2 linked regions of the Sus scrofa genome follow. The protein of the gene in region 1 purifies or fractionates together with the protein of each later gene. This does not show direct contact. Links are inferred from orthologs where the notes say so. Each region holds a gene or a part of one and is shown on either strand. Other genes may lie near its edges. The genes, in order: ANKRD17 and HOXB6.

Region 1 (3,814 bases):
CTGCTTTCTTTTGACTACCTTTGACTATTTTGTGATTCTCCTGTTCTCAGGCCTGGAGAGTTGCTTACTTCTGCAAAGATACTGCATGATAACCATACGAGTTTTATAGCTCTTGGTGATTTGTCCCCATTCACTTATATCTTTGGATTCATTTAGATTACCTTAGTTTTGTGATAGATGTTTTCCCTAGATTTTGAGCTTTGCTAACTTAGTGGCATTGTTTTTATGAGAGAATTTGGGAAGACTCAAAACCTGTGCCACTACTGTTTCCATTATTCTAGAATTCCATTTTATACCAGCGTAATTTTAAGTTGTATTTTTAAATATTTATAATTACTTTAAAGACTGATGTGGCTTTTCCATTTTCTTATGACTTGTTAAAAGTAAATACTATGAAGGAATGCTAATGGATCCATGACCACAGGAATTATGTTTTAATTTTTCATTAGAAGGTAATAGTTTTCTTGGTTTACTTTTACAGATGACAAGCCCTCACATCTCATTTTTTTTATTCTCCAATAAAATCAATATCCATATAATAATTTATAGGGTACTTTAGCATTCATTCCTTTTAGTTAATAGTTACTGCATCTCACTGAGTAGTGATACTATCAGTTTAACTAAAACAGACCTCTGTAAGCACTAGTAGGATGGGATTGATCTCCACAGTACTTTCCAGTTCTGTATTATTCTAAAACACATATGAGAAGTCTTTTTTAAAAGAAAAAAAACACTTCAGGCCAATAATATTACTGAATTTTTCTGTGTCTTCCAAATTCCCTAAAAAGTACCTTGGGAAGTAGAAGCACTATGTTTGTGTGTATGGGCAGATAGATTGATTTTATAAATTTATTAGCTACCTGAGTCCCATTGGATAGATACAGACACAAACGTGTTTATACACACACACATGTATATAGAAAACTTAAATGTAAAGAGAGCTAAATGAAAATATATCATTAGGAGTTCCCATTGTGGCTCAGCAATAATGAACCCGACTAGTATCCATGAGGACATGGGTCCCATCTCTGTCCCCGCTTAGTGCGTGAAGGATCCAGCGTTGCTGTGGCTGTGGTGTAGGCTGGCAGCTGCAGTTCCAATTGGACCCCTAGCCTGGGAACTTCCATATGTTGTGGGGTGTGGCCTTAAAAAGGCCAAAAAGAAAAAATAAATTAAATATATATCATAAAATAACTATCACTAGGGCATAGAGTCAGGCATTTGTGGTTAAATTATAGCTTTGTAGGTAACTGTTTTGACTTTCAAGCTTCAAGCTCCTCCATAGTTTAAACTCTATCTAAATTTAAATGTGCTTGGTATTTAAAGTTTTCTCAATAAATACAGTTTTGGTTTTTATTTTTCCTTCTCTATAGTGTGTAAAGACATTAAATCACGATGCATATTCCCAAATTGCCTATATTAAGAATCAACCCTGGAGTTCCCGTCGTGGCTTATTGGTTAACGAACCCAACAGTCCTTGAGGACACAGATTTGATCCCTGGCCTCGCTCAGTGGGTTAAGGTTCCACTGTTGCCCTGAGTTGTGGTGTAGAACAGACATGGCTCAGATCCTGCATTGCTGTGGCCGTGGTGTATGCCTGCAGCTACAGCTCCAATTCGACCCCAAGCCTGGGAATCTCCATATCCCACGGGTTCAGCCACAAAAAGAAAAAAAAAAAAAAAGGCAAGAACTAGCCTTGTTTTTATAAGTAAAGCCTAAATTGTCTTTTTTTTCTTTCTTTTTTTTTTTTTTTTTTTTTTCTTCTCTTTTTTGGGCTACCCCTGTGGCATATGAAAGGAAGTTCCCAGCCTAGGGATTGGATTGGAGCTGCAACCTCCAGCCCATGCCACAGCCACAGCAAGGCCAGATCCAAGCTGCATCTATGACCTATACTGCAGCAATGCTGATCCTCAACCCACTGAGCAAGGCCAGGGATCGACCCCACATCCTCATGGATACCAGTTGGGTTCTTTACTGCTGAGCCACAATGGAACTCCTTAAATTGTCATTCTTATTTATTTATTTGTTTATTTTTTTGCTTTTTAGGGCCATTCCTGCGGCATATGGAAGTTTGTCACGTTGGAGATACAGCTGCTGGCCTACATCATAGCCACAGCAACATCGGATCTGAGCCATATCTGTGCCCTATACCACTCACAGCTCAGGGCAGTGATGGGATCCTTAACCCACTGAGTGACGCTAGGGATCAAACCCACATCCTCATGGATACTATTCAAATTCGTTTCCCCTGTGCCATAAGGGGAACTCCCAAATTGTCATTTTTAAAAGTGTGTTCTGTGGACAAGGCACAAGATGCAATAAAACACTTGGGTTATAAGGCATACGCTTCTTTTGGTATTTTATCAGCATATTATGGTTCTGCGAAGTCTTGATTTAAAGAATCTTTTTTTTTTTTTCTTAAGCTAGATTTTCCAAATTTATTAGATATCTGAACATCTTTGTTTTTTTCATCATAACATACTTAGGAACAACATACTTAGGAACAGATATTCCCAAGGAAAATAGTTTGAAAATTGCCAGTATAGTCAGTGATCTTTCCCACCTGCCTTTGGTTGTTTGTGTTTTGAATTTAAACATTGTCTTCTCATTGTTCTGGTATTATTTTTTACTCACTGTTAAGGGTAAAGTTATTTAAATATTAAATTAATGTGTAGTGCAACATTTACATTTTCGTATGCTGTCATGAAACTAAATGGTAAAATTGTGAGCCAAATTTAAAAAAATGACTGCAAAGTCATAGAACTTTAACCAGATTTAATATACATAATTTGTTATTTAAGCATTACCCTCATTTCATTTTTCTTTAAAGGATTACATATTTAAGGTATTTAAGATTTTGTTTTATGAAATTACAGGCTTTATAGATAACGTGTATATTATTTAAAAATAATTTTTCTCTAGATTCTCCTGCACAGTCAGTATCCTCTGGAGTTCGTGCACCTTCTCCTGCCCCATCATCAGTACCTTTAGGGTCAGAAAAGCCCAGCAACGTCTCTCAGGATAGAAAAGTTCCAGTCCCTATTGGGACGGAACGTTCTGCACGTATCAGGCAAACTGGAACTTCAGCTCCATCTGTTATTGGGAGTAATTTGTCCACATCAGTCGGGCACAGTGGCATCTGGTCCTTTGAAGGGATTGGTGGCAATCAAGGTATGATATGCTCTAATGCGTACTAGGAATTAAGTTTATGCATTTCACTAAAATATTGTAAGCAGTATTTAACCTTAATGACATTCTTAGAAAAATATGTATTCATATTTCTTTGTTTAGACTATCTGTTTATTTAAGAGTTGTTGCCATGTTAATTGCCCATTGCTTTCTGAAAAAGTTTAGTGCAAGCATATTATTTTCTTCATTTCATCATGCTAAGGAGATGTTAATATTACTTTGAGGGCTCTTTAAGCTTTTATCTTAGCTCTTTTGTTTTTTAACTCAACGTGTTTAGGTTACTTTATTAGGCTAGTATATCACTATCTACAAACATGAAAATATTGCAATAAATATATGAGTAGATTATTATTCTGAAGGAATTCACAATTCAGTATTGAAAAATATTAGAAATATATAAAATTTTTTGCTGCTTTCTGATTTTAAATATCACCAATTATTTTTTTCTGCCTTTTCATTTTCCCTCAGACAAAGTAGACTGGTGTAATCCTGGGATGGGAAACCCTATGATTCACAGGCCAATGTCTGATCCAGGAGTATTTTCACAGCATCAAGCAATGGAGCGAGAGAGTACAGGAATTGTAACTCCTTCTGGTACATTCCATCAGCATGTTCCTGCAGGATA
Region 2 (4,393 bases), on another chromosome or scaffold:
GGATTCACCCCACTCCAGCCAGACTTGGGAGTAGGGTGGGGGAAGGTGCCCACAGCCCGAAGAGCTAGGGGTGCGGGGAGCTTTGCAGCTGAGAGGATGTGGGGGAGCCTGGATAATGTCTCAATCTCCTTCGCCTCCACACACCTACTGGCAAATATCCTCCTGGAGATTACCGACCGGTACAGGAGAATTTTACTCCGGAGCTGAACACAGCTCAGACATTTCCCTGGGAGCTGGAATGTGTGTTTGTCCGCAGGACTTCAGATTCACAGCTCAGAAAATTACAATTATAAATCCTGCCTGTGGGGTTTCTATACAATCCTTCTGTTGTGTACTCAAGAGTTGGTACACATGTATATTCACCTCTTCGTTGAGCAGGGAGAGACACTCAGAGCAGCCGATGCTGCTATGTATTTCTGTACTCCCCTTTGGAGACAGACCGACAGCGGTGATGGAACCACAGACAGATTCATAGAGATCTGGCTCCAGAAACCAGGCAGCCTCTGGCCCAGCCCTGCCTGCCTGCTCTTTCTCCCAAACAAACGGATCAGACGAATAAACGCTCATAAATACCTCTGGGCTTAGATAAGAGCGATGAGGCGCTATTTCCTTTCATGCTGGACTCCAGGCGCCCAGGCCCTGCCTTTGCGGCTCCATCTCGCGACAGGCAACCTGCAGAGGTGAGGTTAATTTGGGGCTATGACTCTTAGGATAAGGCGATTATTTTCTGTGTCTTTATCACAGGGGAAGGCTTCCTCCCTCACTGAAGCTAATGTTGCCCAGGCTTCATAGGAAAGCCCACGGCTTCCAGTTCTCATGTGAGGACGCTGTGGCCAGTGGGGTGGCAGGGAGGGCTGAGGCCCAAGGCTCAGCCTCAGTGGCAAGAAGGAGGGAGATACATGAGGCACTCTGCCCACTTTGCTCCTCCTGCCCAGATGTTCCCCATTCCTCCCAGGAGTGGGCTTAATCATAGCTGGATTGGAGGCCTCATGACTCCATCATAAGGAGGCTTCAGTTTATTTTCTTCAGCCTTGACAAGACCCCCATAGAGCTGGGCTAGGAAGTGTTGGTAGGGCAACTGGGAATAGCCACTTAGCCTAGAAGTTGTCCTAAGTTCAGGGAGCCTTGTAGGTCACTTTGCAGCCAACTAAGTTCCCATCCTTGGTCACCAGCGACAGCCCTCTACCACTTCTCCTAGGGTCTTGTGCCATCTTCCATGGGCAGAGTTGGCCCACCAAAAAAGGAGCCCAAAGAACAAGCCAGAGGAGAGTCAGCTTGGCCCCTTCATCATCAGATTTCTGTCCCACACCCTGGCCCATTCCTGGCCCCAGGCCTGAAGGTTGTCACCCTTTATTCCTGGCCTCCATGTGCACGCCAGCATGTTGAAAACACACCTTGGCTCCATCTTCCAGCCTGGCTCCAATGCTCATTTTCCTTCGATGAGAGAGTGAGACAGTCAGAGGTGTACATTCTCACTCACACCAAAGCTTGTAGGCAGCAAGCCGGCGATACAAACATGAGATGTGGGAGGGATTGCAGAGATGCTGAGTGACAGACAGAAGGGTGGTGAGCATCTGGAGAGGGGATACGGAATGATAGTTGTAAGCTGCCTGCTGAGACCCAACGCCCCTCCCTCCTTATAAAACTAAACAAAAACCAAGTCTTGAGGAAGAATTAATTTTTTAAAAAGACCTGCCAGTTTCTGGAGAGACCTGGAAAAGGAGCAAGGGTTCCTCTCTTTCCAGTGGTCTGATTGCCTCCAATATCAGGAGGGTTGAAGGACCCGGAACTGGAGGAGGAACAATTTCTTCCCTGTACCCAGACTGACGGAGACACTTTTGATTCCTAAGAATCTGTAGCCCAGGATACTCTAATGTCTTTGGGGTTAGGAAGTGGGCGGGAAATGAGGGTGGCAGGCAGGATAGGGATCAGACAAAGGTAGGCTGGGGGGTGCCTCTCACCCCCCAAGTGGAGACAGGACCAGTCCCTCTTCCCAATGTCCCTTTTTTCCTGTGCCAAGAGCAAGCAGGACACACTAGAATCAGGCAAGATGTCTCGGGCAGCGGCAGCCATAGCCTTCCAAGAAGCTCCCAGCCTAGCACAGCCAGAAGGAGAAGCTTGGGCTCAGACTCTCCTCCCATTTTCCGGCCCTCTGGGTCCTCTGGGCAGCGGGCTCTGGCCTGCCCCCAGCCCATAAGAGTAATAGAGAAGTAGGAATAATAAACCCAGGCTTGGAAAAGTCGGGGTAGATCTGGGAAGCAGAAAAAAACGGCTTTCAAAATCTGGGAAGAAGAGGGTTTCTTCTTCACCGCTTCTCTCTTTCTGATAACGATGCTAATCAGAGGAGAACTCTTCCTCCCTGCTTTGAACACAAAACGCCAGGAACCAGCCCTGTCCTTTCCTTTAGTTCTCCTCCAAGGAGATTGAGATGCAAGATTTGGAGACATTTATCCACTTTCCCTTGAGGGAAGGGGGCTCAAGCAACGCAGGGGTTAACTTTTCTGAAAACACAATTAACTTTTTCCTATTCCGCGTGGGGAGGGGAGGGATATATTTATTTAATCACTGGGGGATGGGGTGGTCTCAGTCCAAGTGCTGCCTCCTCCCTCAAAAGCACAGACGCCTCTTTCGCAGATCCTACGTAGGTGGAACAGGACGCGTTGTGCTGTTGGGGAGAGAGAGAGAGAAGGCAGAAGGAGAAGAAGGAGGGGGAAAAAAAGGTTGATAGGTTTGTGCGCGGGTCCCTCGCGCGGGCTGCGCTCCTCCTGGGTGCTATTTGCCAATTCCTGCTTCTGCCATTGGTCAGTGTTGGATCAGATGGTTGTATTTCCTTCTGGCCCTCACTGGCACCTCGCCATCCCCCCTCAGCTAAAACCCAATCTCAGATATACTACTAATAGGCGCGGCGCTCGGACTATAAAACACAACAAATCATAAACCCGGCGGAGCAGCAGCGGCCGTGCGCGCCTCCCCTCCCAATGAGTTCCTATTTCGTGAACTCCACCTTCCCCGTCACTCTGGCCAGCGGGCAGGAGTCCTTCCTGGGCCAGCTCCCGCTCTACTCGTCGGGCTATGCGGACCCGCTGAGGCACTACCCCGCGCCCTACGGGCCGGGGCCCGGCCAGGACAAGGGCTTTGCCGCTTCCTCCTACTACCCGCCGGCCGGCGGCGGCTACGGCCGAGCGGCGCCCTGCGACTACGGGCCGGCGCCGGCCTTCTACCGAGAGAAGGAGTCGGCCTGCGCGCTCTCAGGCGCCGACGAGCCGCCCCCGTTCCACCCCGAGCCGCGGAAGTCCGACTGCGCGCAGGACAAGAGCGTGTTCGGCGAGGCAGAGGAGCAGAAGTGCTCCACCCCGGTCTACCCCTGGATGCAGCGGATGAATTCATGCAACAGTGAGTGAGACTTGCTGCGGCCGCCGCGACCCCCACGGGCCCCCCCTCCTCAAGACAGAACTAGCGAGCCCCCCTTCTCCCACAGGGTGCCGGGTGGGCATCTCGGTTGGAGCCAAGGCAACACTGGGCGCCTGCACCGGGTCTCCCGCGCTGCCCTCCCGCCCTCGGGAGTTGCAAAGTTTGCAAAGTCTCAGATGCACTCCGAGCCAAGGGGAGCGAGTGGATTCTCCCGGAGCGCCAGGCCGCAGCCGGGATTCGGGGTCAGGGAGGCGGACAGGGGCCGCAGTCACTGGCTGGGCTTCCCCTGGCGCCCCCAGCTCTGGTCGAGTCCCCGACCCAAGGACTGTTCATTAACAGCGGAGTGCGTCATGGGAAGGGGGGCGGCGTGACGCTGGCGAGGGAGAGTTGAGTCTGTCCCGGACTGGGTTTCCCTGGGGGTCGGGGGCTGGGGAAAGATGAGGCACCAGGAAAGGGGTGGCAGTCAGAGGAGGGAGGGAAAGCAAGGGGAAGAAAGAGAAGGAGCAGGCTGAGGGGGAGAGAGGAAGAAGCAGGCGCCTGGGTCTAAGGTTGGATTATTTGTCGGCCTTAAGTCCCAAATTGATGTCCATTAGCAGGACACGAAAGTGAGGAGCCGTTAATGCCCACTATGGATCGATCCACGTCATTGCGGATTAAGGGCCAGAATCTATCACGGGGTGGTGGGGGAGCCAGATGGATGGAAAGAAAAGATGCAGCTAGGAAGAGACACACCTGGCCAGTGCCTCCCCAGCCCCTCCCCCTAGGCTCAGGTGGGATTTAGAACTGCTCCTCCCATCCCCCCACCGAGAATCTAGACGGAAGGCGTAAGCCTAGGAGACCCGGAGGGAATCTGGAGGGGGCGCTGGAGGAATGAGGAAGCGGGTGGGGGCAGGGAAGAGGGAGAGTGGAGGGCATCCTGGGACAGGCTAGAGTCCACGTTTGAGGGCCGAGTGGGGGGAGGGGGGCTCTGGCCCTGGTGACC

The links.
Region 2: the proteins of ANKRD17 (region 1) and HOXB6 purify together in Homo sapiens (co-immunoprecipitation; 3 studies listed by BioGRID and IntAct, with this or other methods). This does not show direct contact. The link is inferred for Sus scrofa from reciprocal best matches to the Homo sapiens genes ANKRD17 and HOXB6.

Annotation. Positions count from the first base shown.
Region 1 is NC_010450.4:69,363,901-69,367,714, reverse strand, and holds part of ANKRD17 (ankyrin repeat domain-containing protein 17), read left to right. Parts: intron 1-2,922; coding exon 2,923-3,171; intron 3,172-3,657; coding exon 3,658-3,814.
Region 2 is NC_010454.4:24,850,673-24,855,065, reverse strand, and holds the start of HOXB6 (homeobox protein Hox-B6), read left to right. Parts: upstream 1-1,571; 5' UTR 1,572-2,978; coding exon 2,979-3,393; intron 3,394-4,393. UniProt on the Homo sapiens protein: Sequence-specific transcription factor which is part of a developmental regulatory system that provides cells with specific positional identities on the anterior-posterior axis.